Macaca fascicularis: one gene and its partners. The protein of the gene in region 3 purifies or fractionates together with the protein of the main gene of each other region. This does not show direct contact. Links are inferred from orthologs where the notes say so. Each region holds a gene or a part of one and is shown on either strand. Other genes may lie near its edges.

Region 1 (3,500 bases), on a different chromosome or scaffold from region 3:
TACTGGAGAGAGTGTGTCCGGCACTTTCCCTTGCCCAGCCTTCCCACAAGTGTCGTATTATTTGATAAGCCTCTTGCAGCAGGCCACAGGGATAGGCAGAGCCCACAGGAGGCTCACCACCTGTCCTGTCCCAGGGGGCTTTGCCAATGACAGATGCAGACCAGATGGGCAGCTGCCAACCGGAGCCAGAGTGAAGGGTTCCACCCAGGCCAGGGCTCCTGTCAGTGCTTTCTCTCTCTTTCTTTCTCTCTTTCTCTCTCTCTCTCTTTCTCTCTCTCTTTCTTTCTTTCTCTCTCTCTTTCTCTCTCTTTCTCTCCCTTCCTTCCTTCCTTCCTTCCTTCCTTCCTTCCTTCCTTCCTTCCTTCCTTCCTTCCTTCCTTCCTTCCTTTCTTTCTTTCTTTCTTTTCTTTCTTTTCTTTCTTTTCTTTCTTTCATTTATTTTTTTGAGACAGAGTCTGTCCCTCTCATCCAGGCTGGAGGTCAGTGGCGTGATCTCCACTCACTGCAACCTCTGTCTCCCAGGTTCAAGCAATTCTCGTGCCTCAGTCTCTCAAGTAGCTGGGATTACAGGCGTGTGCTACCACGCCCGGCTAATTTTTGTATTTTCAGTAGAGATGCGGTTTCACCATGTTGGCCAGGCTGGTCTCGGACTCCTGACCTCAAGTGATCCACCCGCCTTGGCCTCCCAAAGTGCTGGGATTACAGGCGTGAGCCACCACGCCTGGCCAGCTCCTTTTTGTCTCTCTGCTTGCCCTGTCTCAGCTCTCAAACCCCAGGCAGGGGCACGAGCCCTACCCCTTGTGTTCAGGGCAATGCTGCAGGGATGACTGTGATTAGAACAATAATAGCAGCTCCCATTTATTATGCCAGACACTGCAGGGTGGTTTAATCCACAGCCCTGTGATGTTGGCATTATTGTCATCCCCATTCCATAGTGGAGGAGAGGGGCTCAGACGAGTGACATGACTTGCCCAGGGACACGCGGCTACAAGCAGGAGTCACTGAGACCCAAAACAAGGTCTGGCTGAGCCCAGGACCTTGCCTTTTCCTACTGCCCTCAGCAAGGGGGTGGCGTTGGACCAGCCCTTGGGGCAGAGCAGTCAGGCAAGCGCCTGGACACTGGGTGGAGGCGGATGGAAGGTGCGAGGCCCCTCAGAACCTGAGGCCTCCCTGGGGAGCTCTGGGTGTGCATGGGAGAGGCTGACAGGTAGGTGTTGGCCTGGGGGCAGAGCTAGTACTCTTGGGCAGGGGTCTCAAGTCCTCCCTCCCATCCTGGTTTCTCCAAATCCTTTTGCCAAGTGACTCTGGGCTGGTCCTTCCGCCTCTCTGGCTGCTATCAGAGGCTTCCTAAGGGCCAGGGCCTTGGCCAAGTGCTCGTGCTCACATCCTCTCTGGTGTCACACCATCTGTGCCCTCATGGACAGGATGAAATTAGGCTGAGGCTCTGGAGTGGCTTGTCCAAGGTCACCAGCTCAGCCCAGCACGCACAGCCAGGCCTCTAGTGCTGGGGCCCTCCCTTCTCACCCCTGTGTTCCCCCTCCTCTCAGTGTTTTCTTCATACCTCCTCACAGGCCTGGCTGAGGGGTAGGAACTTGAAGGGTCATGGGTCAGCAGGGGTGCAGGACAGGGCATGCAGGTCATGAGTCACAGGCAGTCCCTTCCCGTGTCCCCTCCAGGGCCGATTCACGATTGCGGCCAAGCACCACATCTCCATTGCTGAGATCTATGAGACGGAGTTGGTAGACATCGAGAAGGTGAGTGGCAGCAGGGCCCTTCCTGGGCTGGCAGCCAAGACCAGCGCTGCTCTCTCTTCCCACCAGAGGAGTCCTCTGGTGTCTGAGTGCCGAGAAGGGGGCATGGGGCGCTGGCAGAGCTTGGAGAACGGGGTCTGGCTGTGTCCCAGATGGGCAGGGCGAAGGGTATGGAAGCTTCATGGAGACCTCCTCTCCCTCCCCTGCCCTCCCCTGGAACCCATCCCCCATGTCTCCCCAGGCCATCGCCCACTACGAGCAGTCCGCAGACTACTACAAAGGCGAAGAGTCCAACAGGTAGCCCCCTTCCTGCCTGCCCCAGCCCCTCAGGGACCACCACCACTTCCCCTCACTCCTCCTTCCCACACAGCTCAGCCAACAAGTGTCTGCTGAAGGTGGCTGGCTACGCCGCACTGTTGGAGCAGTATCAGAAGGCCATTGACATCTACGAGCAGGTGGGGACAGGTGGGGATGGCGGCCCCCATCCTGCCCCCTCCCAGAGCCTGTGCCTCTTCCTAAGCCCCGGCGCCTTGTTCTGGAACCACCCCTCCCCTGGCTCGCCCTCTGCCTCTTCCCGCACAGCCCTTGCCATGTCATCCCCCCACCCCATCTTCAGTCTGGCTGAACATTCTCCACCTACGACTCCATGCCGTGTCAGCACCGTCTCCCTGGCTGTGCCCCTCCCACACCCCTCACAGAGCTTCCTGGAGGGGCCCAGAGCGAGGCTGGCTAAAGAACCCAGAGGGAGGCAACGGGAAGAAGTGCCAAGAGGCCCAGGGTGGCTGTGGGCACCCCACCCCATGGCACGATGGTCCTCATCCACAGTGGGAGGGAGGGAGTGTCACATGGGGTCCCCCCAGCGTGCATGGAGCCCTGGGTGATGGCCAAGAAAAAGGCAGGCAGCTGGCCCCTGGGGAGAGAAGGGTGGGTGCCGCCTCTCATGTTCCTGCCGCCCCTCTGCCCACTGCCATGCCAGCCTCCCGTTGGTCGTGACAGCCAGGCCGCCACCTCCCCACTGTCTCAGGCTTTTGGGAGCCCTCGAACACCTGGCTACAGCCTCCACCTCCACCCAGCCACCATCACACCCTGGTCTTGGTCGCTTATGCACTGGCCACTGATCTCCCCAAGCCAGTCCCTGGCTCCCTGCCATTGGGGTCCTGGGTTAACGGCCTCACCCTGGGACATGGACCCAGCTCCCAGCTGGCCCCCCAGTGCCTGGCAGTGGCTCTAGCCCTCTGACTGCTTGCCCTGAGCTCACAGTGCCACTTCCCCATGGCTACAGGTGGGGACCAATGCCATGGACAGCCCCCTCCTCAAGTACAGTGCCAAAGACTACTTCTTCAAGGCGGCCCTCTGCCACTTCTGCATCGACATGCTCAACGCCAAGGTAGCACGCCCCATGCCCACCAGACCACCGCGCCAGGCCAGGTCCTGTTACCCCCCAAGATGGACGTGCTCCTCCCTCACGTCTGGCCCCTGCCAGGCAGCCTTTGGATGAGAAGTGTGAATCTCACAGCTATGTTTCTGTGCTGGAGTCACCTGCCCGCCCAGCCCTGGAGGCTTTTGTAGGTCCAGCTCCTGCCTCACTTAGTGCTCTTTTCTTCATGGGTGCACGTTTTGAATCCTCGCTGCATCCCATTAAAGTCAGCACCATTGTCACCTCGTCTTACAAGTGAAGGTGGTGAGGCTGGGACCAGAGTCCCTTGTTTGAGGCCACATGGCTAGGGACCTGTAGCCCCAGCGTTCCAG
Region 2 (3,500 bases), on a different chromosome or scaffold from region 3:
TCATCATATGAAAATAATTAAGCTTATGTTATATGCAGGTAAATGCTTGCACTGCACAATGAGGACATTCATTTCTTTTACACATTTGTGAAGGTAGCAGATGAGCACGATTCAGTATCATAGCATTTCCTAAATCAGAAGCGCTTGCTGACACACGACATAGCTATGCAGTTTTGGTAAGAAGAATAGTAAGAGAATGTGGCTTTTCTTTCTGAAATACAAGCTCACCAGGGCTGGAAGCGAAAGCCATATGAATGAATGGGAGGGATGTAACAGAGAAAGCAAAATCAGAGCATTCAATAAGAGGCTTTGGTACATAAACCCTGCCTCTATTTCTCTGCAGAGAGCTTTTCCATGAGATAACCAAAATAATGAAGCAGAGAGGTTGGTAAAATGTTTGTACCTTTTCCCAAGTCCAAAATACATTGTATATCATATGGGGCAGTAATTAGAAACTAAAACAAAACCACCACTGCATTTGGTCCCCAGAGACCATTGCCAGGTCAAGGCATTGGTTGAAAATATCTGAATATCCTGGCTGATACCAAGATCCCAGCTGTGCCTAGTGAAAAACATTGTCATGCATATGAACAGGTGGACTTAAGCGTACCCTTGGTTCAGATGTAGCAAGGTGATGTCCATCTGGGAATTTTTATTTCTGTTCATACTCTAGACACATCCCAAAAGAAGATGAGTCAGTGATTGACTGAGTTTGCTTACAAAGAGAACCCCATGTAGATTTCACCAGAGTAATTTTCTTCCGTAGGCTTCTGAAACAACCACGTTATTATGATTTCCCTACAGAAAGCCCAGTCAAAGGTTGCCGAAGTTGTTTGTGCTTCGCCCTCTCTAAATGACTTGCAAATTTATTCAAACACAATATGAGGAGATGCTTTATTTGTTGAAATAACTGTCTGCAGTGTCCTGCACTAAAGGGTGAGGTACATCAAGCAGAAACATGGACAGAAATACATTGGTTTCGAAACCCATAAATCCTTATTTGAATCTGCCAACCTGAAAGCCACGTGGAGCCCGCATAAACTATTTTTCCTAAATGCTACATCTGATTAAGCCATACCATTAAATGACAGCTGAACTTTAACATTAATATGATATTATTTAAATAACCACATCATTTTTTTTACACTAAAAATGATGAATGATTTCTGGACAGCTCAATTGACATAAAGCAGGAGGACTCTTTAATGAGATTTGACAAAATGGAGACATATGCAGAATATTCGTTACAGCTCACGACGCAGGAGCCCTCCCAGGAAAGCAACAGAGGTTTTTCCCTCCCCTTCCTTTCTTTTTTATTGTCTATAGGCACTGAAGCATTCCTTTCAATCACCACTACCCTTCTCTCTGAATTCTGAGTTTTTCTTAGGCCATTTACCTAGTACTCTTAATCAGAGAATTTGATGGCTTATGATTCTGAGTTGGGAGTCAGGGTCCAAGAAAATGAGAAGGAATGTCATATTATGCAAGCCTTGGCTGGAAATGTCCCAGGAACTTTAAGCTTGCTACTGGTCAGGCTACTTAGAAAAATCTTAACAGTCTTGAAGACCAAACCACTAGACATTTGATTGATTCTTATGTAATAAATCTGTAACACGGCAAACATACTTTTAGCAAACTATTGTATATGGATACGTGATCAAAGAAGACTTTAGTTATTTTTAGATGGTTGTCTTTATAGTATCAACTATAAAGATTTCCTTCTTAAAAATTCTAATTAAGCTATTCCAGAGGCCATTCTCAATGTTTCTCATTCACTTTTCTATCCACAGTTCCAAACTGACAGTCATGCTAGATGATATTCTTATGTGGTAGATTCTGAATGTGAAATAATTTTGCGCTGAATGTACTTATAAGAACATTACCTGCATTCATTCATTTATTTTCTCATACTATTTAGCATATTTTTCATCAATCAAGGTTGAGTTACACATATAAAACATGAACATTTGTTTGTTAGCACATATTATTCAGATAATCTTGACGTTTTATAAATCATCTTTCAGTGTATACATAAAACAGAAATGTTTCCCCAAACCGTGTCACTTAAAGAAATGAAAACAAGGCAACACAGAGCAAAACTAACAGCAACTGTGCTCCTGAAAATGGTAGGTCTGCATTCCCTCCATAAGAAGGAGGCCATCAAAATAGAAAATAAAATCAGCCTGCTCCTGCCATGGGGCCTTCCTCAGGCTATGAAAAAACACTTCATGTCTAACCCTAATTTTTTCCATAGCTTCAGGTTACCCCCCTAGCTCAAGCTTTCTCTCTAATCTGTGTTACTATGTGTCCCTGTCCAAATAAGAGTTAATATCAGTGCTTTATTATTTCAAACGGGTCCTGACACAGGGCACTAAGAGCAGAAGCTTAAAAGCATGTAATATGCCCCGTTGCAATTGAATGAAAACATAATAGTTTTAAAAAGAGACAGAGAGAAAGATGGGTCCCTACCTTGCTCTTACCTTCGCAACATCCCCGTCAGAATCCTGGAGCTTTTTCCCAAATTAGCGTCTGTTTCCCGAAGCTACAAGAAGAACAGCAATGTTAAAACAAAACAAAAGTTCATGCAATTAGACTATTTCTAAAGTGCATGGCAAGTGACAATTTATTTCACGGTAGAAAATCCAAACAATAAAAATGTTCAAATATACAAAAATAAATACATTTCTGACAGCTACACAAACATGGAAAATTCTTATATTTGGAGAATGACACATGAGAGGTAATCTTGGGAGCTTTAAGCTGGATACTAGAACCAGATATAAAAGCAAAGCACAGGCTGAAAAAGTTTCATAAACATTTGGTAATTCATCTCCAACTTATGAATGTGCAGTCCTAAAAACATAAAAATAATATGAATTGAGAAAAGATGACCACCAATAATTCTATAGTTTTCACTCTAAAAGATGAACATACTCCAAAATCTCCCTCAGTGACCTTCTCCTCTATAAGAAGTAAATAAAATACCCACCTGGGAGCATTCTGGGATGGGGACATAGAGTCGGCTGCTATTTGCTCCATGTCACTCTCTTTCTTTTCCTTTCCACAGACTTTACACCCTCTTTCACCTTAGATACATATAACTACCTAATTGCTACTGTTTATGTCCCAATGCCTTTCATTTATGTCTTCATTTACTGAATATGTGAAAAAACTATATCACTTATACTTACTCTTTCACGTGCTCGCTGTATCTTTTCTCTGTCATGACTAAGGTTTTCCAACATCTCCTGACCAATTTGCTCTATGGAAAAGAAAATCTGAGTAAGGAAAAATGACTCGGAGTGCACATGAGAATAACTCTCAGGAGTACCCAAATGACATAAAATGTTAAAGTAGCATGCATGCATTATACATTAGACACGTATTTCAATTCATGTATTTGAAAAATATAAACAGTATTTGATAAATGTGTCTATTTATCTTAGGTATAATTAGATATTTGACCTATAGAACATAACCAACATGAGAATAATGACTTA
Region 3 (3,500 bases):
TAGGGTGAAACCCTGTCTCGACTAAAAAAATACAAAAAATTAGCCAGGCATGGTGGCACGCGCCTGTAGTCCCAGCCTCTCGGAAGACTGCGGCAGGAGAATCGTTTGAACCCAAGAGGTGGAGGTTGCAGTGAGCCAAGATCACGCCACTGCACTCCAGCCTGGGTGACAGAGAAAGATTCTGTCTCAAAAAAACAAAAAAAATTCTGGCAAGGTTTCTGAGCCCACACTCCTCAGGGTATTTGGTACCTTGGATAATTTTCTGCTGCTGTTGCCGGATTTCATCAAAACCCAAGCCTCTGGTCTCCTCTGGCTCCTCAAAGAGCCAAGGGTTGGGTGCTCCTCGCTTAGCCTCTTCACTCATCAGGCTGGACCTAAAGAACAATATTAAACGATATTGATATATCTCAAAACATGCAGCTCAAATGCAAATTACTCCCACCAAGTGCAGAGGTGGCCAGCCTTGAATGCTTTGAAAATTCAATTCAAACACAATTTATTGCATCCTGAGTTTATGCCAGGAACTGTATTCAGTGCTGGAAGAGATACAGGGATGAATAGGCACAAGCTTGGTCCTCAGAATTACAGCCTGTTATAGAGATGATGAGAGAACATAATATTTGTACTAATCCTCTAAGAAATGTTTGAGTTAATCCTAAGAGAAGTTGGTAATAAATGAGGTTCTTAAATTTCAAAAACAGAAGGCTAAACAGTAGCCTTTTTATTAGGACAAAGTTTGTCTCAGAGGCTATGTGACCCCAAAGGTACAAATATTATTTCTCAAGCAGATACAATGTTGCGACTACAGATTACAATGTTATTTTTTTTATTTTTATTTTTTTTAAAGAGACCACATAATTTCCCATTAAAGGATATTTGGAGCCAGGCGTAGTGGCTCATGCCTGTAATCCCAACAATCTGGGAGGCCGAGGCGGGCAGATCACCTGAAGTCAGGAGTTCCAGACCACCCTGGCCAACACGATGAAACCCTGTCTCTAATAAACACAAAAACAATTAGCCAGGCTTGGCGGTGGGCATCTGTAATCCCAGCTACTTGGGTGGCTGAGGCAGGAGAACTGCTTGAACTGGGAGGCAGAGGTTGCAGTGAGCCAATATAGCGCCACTGCACTGCAGCCTGGGTAGCAGAGCAAGACTCTGTCTCAAAAAAAAAAAAAAAAAAGGAGTATTTGATTGCTCACAGACACAGGCAGGGTTTCAATACCAATTTTGTGACTTTAATGTAGCATTCATAACAGAATAAACACATTCTGATTTGTCAATCTTAACCTTACTCCCTCTAACAATCCATGTGCCCTTTCTGCACCAGATCAGTTGGTCTCGCTATCTAAGGATCAGGAAACACATGATTTCCACCTCAATCCCCATGTTTTCAGGATTCTCCTCCTCTCAAGTAGCTCCTCTCCTCTCCCTGCCTGTCCACATTCTGTCCAAGCTGAGAAGACCATCTTGTCCAGGACACCACCTTCTGACCACTTCAACGAAGAGATGAACATTCACTTTAGAGCTCTCATCAGATTCATGAAAAATCATAGAATAAATGGTGGGTGGGACATCAGCAAGATGGCTGATTAGAGGCACCTGGTGCTCACCTGCCCCCCACTTTCTTACGGAAGGACAAAGGCAATGAATAAACAGCTAAGATTTGACTTCAGTGTGGGAAAGCACTGGACTGCAGTGGGGAAGTGGAGAGGCCCCTGTGGTGATTGAAAGTCTAGAAGGGCAGCATGAAGGCCCCCAGCCTCCGTGGCCCCATCTCTTCCACCAGGATTGGGTAGGCCTGGACATATGAGGGCCTTCTCCCTTTGAGGAAAAGGTAAGCAGGAGATTTCCACCTGCCTCCACTGCCGCGGCAAACACCTACAGTCCCTACTACAGGAGGATCCCCCAGTCCTTGCAAGTTCTGAGCCCAGTTTGGAGAGCTGCTGGGAATTCGTACAGTCGCACTGCCCCAGATTAGGCATATACCCCACTCCCCACCCACCCCATGAGCCAAGTTACTACAGCATGGCGCCATCTTCAGACCACAGCTCCCTCTGGAGTGTGCCTTCCTCTTGGGGCCAGTAGCCACTGCACCTTTCCAGCACTGGGACTCCATCTTCATGCCACCAAACCTACACAGGTGGCTGAACTCCACACCCCAGGCCCCAGGAATGGCTGTGACTCTGGTCCTGCACTGAAGGAAAACCACCATCCTCACTTTCAGCCACAGAAACAGTCCCACCCAGGGCAAACCACTCTCGAGCCAACCAAACTGCTGTATACCCCCCTGCAAGCAGAAGGCCTGTGCAACTGACAGGCTAGCACAGTGACTACACTTCTGCATCCAGGATCTGTGACACAGTCGGGCAGTGCAGCCCCCTACAGACATGCCCCCAGCCTACCGAAAGGCTCCCCACCTCAATCAGGGCCTGAGAAACAACCCTGCAGGATGCCCCTGGCAGACATAACCCCAAGTCAGCCAAGTGGCCCTATGTCCACATCCCAGGCCTGAAAAACAGTCCATGGGTTACCCCCAGCAGCAACTCCCCTAGGCCAGCTGAGCAGCCCTGTGTTCACATCCCAGGTCTGAGATGCAACTCCTCAGGCCACTCCCGGCAGACATGCCCAGAGGGCTGTCAAGCAGCCTTATGCCCACCTCTCATGACTGAGAAATAGCCCTGTGGGCTGTCTGCAGCAGGCATTCCCCCCAGGAGAGCTGAGCAGCAGTGTGCCCATGTCCCAAACCTGAGAAACAGTCCAACAGGCCACCTCTGGCAGGCATACTCCCAGCCTGGCCAAGCAACCAAGCAACTGTGCCCTCAGCCAGAGTAAGGGAAGCAACCCCAACCCCAGCAAGTGAGACCCCAAGTTGGACAACCCACCATGTGAATGCATGCATCGTTGACCTGACAAATAGCCCAGTGAGCACATCCCTGGCAAAGTCATGCCACCACCACCACAAAGCCTCTCAGCTGAGGCCACTGAGACACTCACAAACATCACTAGCATGGATTACACTTGAAGAAACTATACAAAAACTACACTACTATGCCCACCTGGAACCAAAACCAATGCATCCCACTAAACCAACACCCCAAGATCCATTCATATGAATATTTCTTTCCCTGCAAAACCTACTGCATAGAATTGGAAGAAGCAACTATTCCACCAGATGCATAGAAATCAACATAGGGATACATCGAACATGAAAAAGTAAGGAAACATGACACCTCCAAAGGAATACAATAATTCCTGTGTAATAGACCCCAATGATAGAGAAATATACAAAATGACAGAAAAAGATTTCAAAATAGTAATGTTACAGTGAGATACAAGATAATAGAGCTAGACGATTTGATGAAATCAGGAAAACAATTCATGACTTGAATAAGAAATTCAACAAGAAGATAAATACCATAAAAAAGGACAAAACAGGTATCCTAGAGTAAAATAATTCAATGAATAAACAAATACAAGCTAGAAGCTTTACCAAAAGAATA
Region 4 (3,500 bases), on a different chromosome or scaffold from region 3:
TAATTACATGCTCCTCCTAAGATGTCATCTCTTGTTCATGCTTTGAGAGTCCAATTATGCTTTTGCAGCTGTGGTTCTAATGGGTAATACACATGCTGTTGTGCTATGTAGCTAGAATAGAGATCTTCCTTTTATTTCTTATTTACTTCTCTCAGTTTGACTTGAAAGAAACAGGTATATTGGGAAGGGGAAGAGGGAGAATAGACTGTATCCGTAAGTAATGTGGTGACATTGGCAGTACTGAACTTGCTTATACATAGATAGAAGATAGAAGTAAAAGTGATGTTGCTTATAACCACAGTAAGTTTTATATCTTTTATTCTACAGTTATTTGTTTCATTACATCTGCCAAGACAGGATTGTATATCTTTGTATCACTGATGATGTAAGTAACTTGAAGACATATTGCTATTTAACTATGTGTACTATTAATACAGCCAGTTCTTTATTATCTACACCAGGGGTCCCCAACCCCCAGGCTGCAGACTGGTACAGGTCTGTGGCTTGTTAGGAACCAGACCACATAGCAGGAGGTGAGTGGCCTATGAGCATTACCACCTGAGTTCCACCTCCTATCAGATCAGCAGCAGCATTAGATTCTCATATGAGTGCGAACCCTGTGATGAACTATACATCCGAGGGATCTAGGTTGCATGCTCCTTATGAGAATCTAACTAATGCCTGATGATCTGAGGTGGAACAGTTTCATCCCGAAAACATTCCCCCTCCCCCAGTCCTTGGAAAAATTGTCTTCTACAAAACCGGTCCCTGGTGCCAAAAAGGTTGGGGACTGCTGATCTGTACCTATGGTGGGCAAAGGTGATGCGAACTTTACATAGCTGGAATTGTTAATATTTTGCATTTGTCATATAGAGCAGCAAATGATAAGAAAACTTGATACTGCGGTATGTGCAAATCAGTTCGATTTTGGTAGAGTTTTAGCTTAGCCTGTTGCAACTTCTATATTCTATTTTGTAGTGAGAATTGGTGTTCATAATTATAATTCTTTGATATCAAAACCTCTCAAAAATTGTTTACCTGGAATGTTAAATTAGATAACGTCATTCCTTCTATCAGTAGTTAATGAATTCTTTCATGTGTGTGAACTTTGGAAAAACAAAATTACAGTACATTATGATCAGCTATATAAACCTGTAGTTTACATTGGCTAGGTATGACTGTCGGCTCTCAGCCCAAAATTCTCAGTAACTTAATGATGTCATTAAGGTCCTTTCTCTTCTCTGCTTTCCTCCGTGTCTCCTTCTTCCCAGACAGGTTGCCATTATGGTTATGTAGAGCTACATACTTATTTATTCATGTCCAGAGAAGAGGGACTGTGTCTTCTTGAGTGTCTTATTGTAGGAATGAGGAAGCTTTTCCCAGCTGCATGCCCTCCCCTCCCCCTTCTTTCAAAGTGAACTTCCTTTCATGTCTTATTGGCTGCATGCTCATTTCTAAACTGTCTACTGACAAAGAGACATGGAATTGGCATGGTTGCCATAGATCAGGGTTCCTAATCTTTGTTGTATCACAGACTCGTCACTTGTGGAACACTCCCAGAATGCTTTTGTTTTCTTTTTTTAATTTTCCTTTTCCAGAATGCTTTTAAATGTATAAAACACACACAATTCTAACAAAGCCAGTTGTATTGAAATATATATATATGTAGTTTTCAAAATATTTTAAAAACTTGATGTAGTCATATATATGCTTCTTTATTAACTCATTAACAAGGTCTAGTCGTGGGTCTAATAACTAATAATCTTGATGTGATGGGTGTTAACAATATTTTGAGATATCTATAACTGTGATGGTATATGAAAAAAGATTTCTGTTGGTGATAGTTACAGGTACTGTTAATACTACCTTGGTTATGAATATACTACCTATATTCACAATTGAAATATAAGTTAACAATTGATAAAAATAATGATGTGATGATCTTTTTTTCTATCCAAGTACAAGGGCCCCTTGAATTTGGACCATTGACCCCAATTTAAGAACCCTCGGCTTAGACTAAGCATCTTGGGTGAAAGGGAAATGACTGTCAACCATAGTGATCATCACAATGATTTTTATCTCTGGCTTCACAATATTTTCCAAAAGTAGAAAAAAATCCAGCTATATGTGAAATGACTGATGTGAAAGAGCTTGGAGTAGATAAAAAATAATAATGAAATCTGGGATAGTCAGAGTCGAGCCTCGTATTTCTTGAGCTGTAATTTGATACACACATACACATACATACATAAACACACATACACACATTCATTTTTTTCCTCTAAGGTATTCTTCTAGAGAACACACATAATTTTTGGCTGGCTGAGATTAGACATGAGTATGTCACTTGATCTTTTCAAATGTACCACCACTATTGAAAAAATTCAATTTGAAGTTAATATCAGTAGTATTATCTGTGTGTATGAAAGACTGTATGATTATTATGGGATTTATTAAACATATTCTTGTGCTGGGCCTTCTAATAGATCCTGTAAAATATATGGAGGAAGTAAAACCCAATTCCTGATGTCAAGAAGTTGATAATTATCATTATCTTCAGTTGTCAATGACCGGATATATCTGGATTCACTCTCAGCTCTTTCATTTACTAGTTGTTGGACCTTTGGACAAGTTAGTTACTTTTTCAGGGCCTTCCTTTACTTATCTTTAAGATAGGATCATTGCTAGTTCCTCCTCATAGAATCATTGCTCAATCAATGTTAGCTATTTTTTATTGTTGTTCTTAATCACTCACATCATCTTTGTTTACTTTCTAAATGTGAGTTCTGTGTTGATCTCTTTTCAGGATTTTGAACGTTCTCGAGCCTTTAATTTTCTGAATGAGATAAAGAAGAGGTTCCAGACTACTTATGGTTCAAGAGCACAGACAGCACTTCCATATGCCATGAATAGCGAGTTCTCCAGTGTCTTGGCTGCACAGCTGGTAAGATCTTTCTCAGGATAAGGTATTTTGATTTTTATCTTCTTTATTACCTTCAAATGCTATGAATCTAGGGGGCCCTGACCTGCAATATAGTTTTCTGATTGTGTTACTGTAAGTCAACATAATAAAACTTGCCTGATTAAAAAAAATGTAAAGGAGCAATTTTAGGGTAGAAAACAGTGATATTCTTTATTATCTCTGTATTCTCTATTAATAGTGGTCATAGTGTCTCATGATCGGAAGAGCATTAAAGATCATCTAGTTCAACTACCCATCTGATGCTTAAATGTGTTCAACATGCCAAATGATCTTTTAACCTGTACATAAACCTTCTACCCTTCCATGAGGCAAATTTAATTTTCTAACAACCCAAATTAATAATTTGAAACTCTCTTCATCTGTATGAGTCCATAATTATCAGCTTCGTGAGGTTTTACATGTGTTTATACCTGTGAAATACCACTGTACTCAAGACAGCATTTTAATCTCCCTAAAAATTCCCTTATGTCGGTCCCCTCCCCCACACTCTGCCCCAGGCAACCACTGATCTGTTTTC

The links. Proteins that work in one complex are often made in the same cells at the same time.
Region 1: the proteins of STX8 (region 3) and NAPA purify together in Homo sapiens (affinity purification with mass spectrometry; 4 studies listed by BioGRID and IntAct, with this or other methods). This does not show direct contact. The link is inferred for Macaca fascicularis from reciprocal best matches to the Homo sapiens genes STX8 and NAPA.
Region 2: the proteins of STX8 (region 3) and VTI1A purify together in Homo sapiens (affinity purification with mass spectrometry; 3 studies listed by BioGRID and IntAct, with this or other methods). This does not show direct contact. The link is inferred for Macaca fascicularis from reciprocal best matches to the Homo sapiens genes STX8 and VTI1A.
Region 4: the proteins of STX8 (region 3) and VAMP7 purify together in Homo sapiens (affinity purification with western blotting; 3 studies listed by BioGRID and IntAct, with this or other methods). This does not show direct contact. The link is inferred for Macaca fascicularis from reciprocal best matches to the Homo sapiens genes STX8 and VAMP7.

Annotation. Positions count from the first base shown.
Region 1 is NC_088393.1:55,512,461-55,515,960, reverse strand, and holds part of NAPA (alpha-soluble NSF attachment protein), read left to right. Parts: intron 1-1,676; coding exon 1,677-1,754; intron 1,755-1,992; coding exon 1,993-2,048; intron 2,049-2,121; coding exon 2,122-2,206; intron 2,207-3,033; coding exon 3,034-3,138; intron 3,139-3,500. UniProt on the Homo sapiens protein: Required for vesicular transport between the endoplasmic reticulum and the Golgi apparatus. Together with GNA12 promotes CDH5 localization to plasma membrane.
Region 2 is NC_088383.1:121,710,711-121,714,210, reverse strand, and holds part of VTI1A (vesicle transport through interaction with t-SNAREs homolog 1A), read right to left. Parts: intron 3,263-3,500; coding exon 3,192-3,262; intron 2,543-3,191; coding exon 2,481-2,542; coding exon of another isoform or gene 2,477-2,480; exon of another isoform or gene 2,470-2,476; intron 1-2,469. UniProt on the Homo sapiens protein: V-SNARE that mediates vesicle transport pathways through interactions with t-SNAREs on the target membrane. These interactions are proposed to mediate aspects of the specificity of vesicle trafficking and to promote fusion of the lipid bilayers.
Region 3 is NC_088390.1:9,594,952-9,598,451, forward strand, and holds part of STX8 (syntaxin-8), read right to left. Parts: intron 375-3,500; coding exon 250-374; intron 1-249. UniProt on the Homo sapiens protein: Vesicle trafficking protein that functions in the early secretory pathway, possibly by mediating retrograde transport from cis-Golgi membranes to the ER.
Region 4 is NC_088395.1:161,936,688-161,940,187, forward strand, and holds part of VAMP7 (vesicle-associated membrane protein 7), read left to right. Parts: intron 1-327; coding exon 328-385; intron 386-2,806; coding exon 2,807-2,944; intron 2,945-3,500. UniProt on the Homo sapiens protein: Involved in the targeting and/or fusion of transport vesicles to their target membrane during transport of proteins from the early endosome to the lysosome. Required for heterotypic fusion of late endosomes with lysosomes and homotypic lysosomal fusion.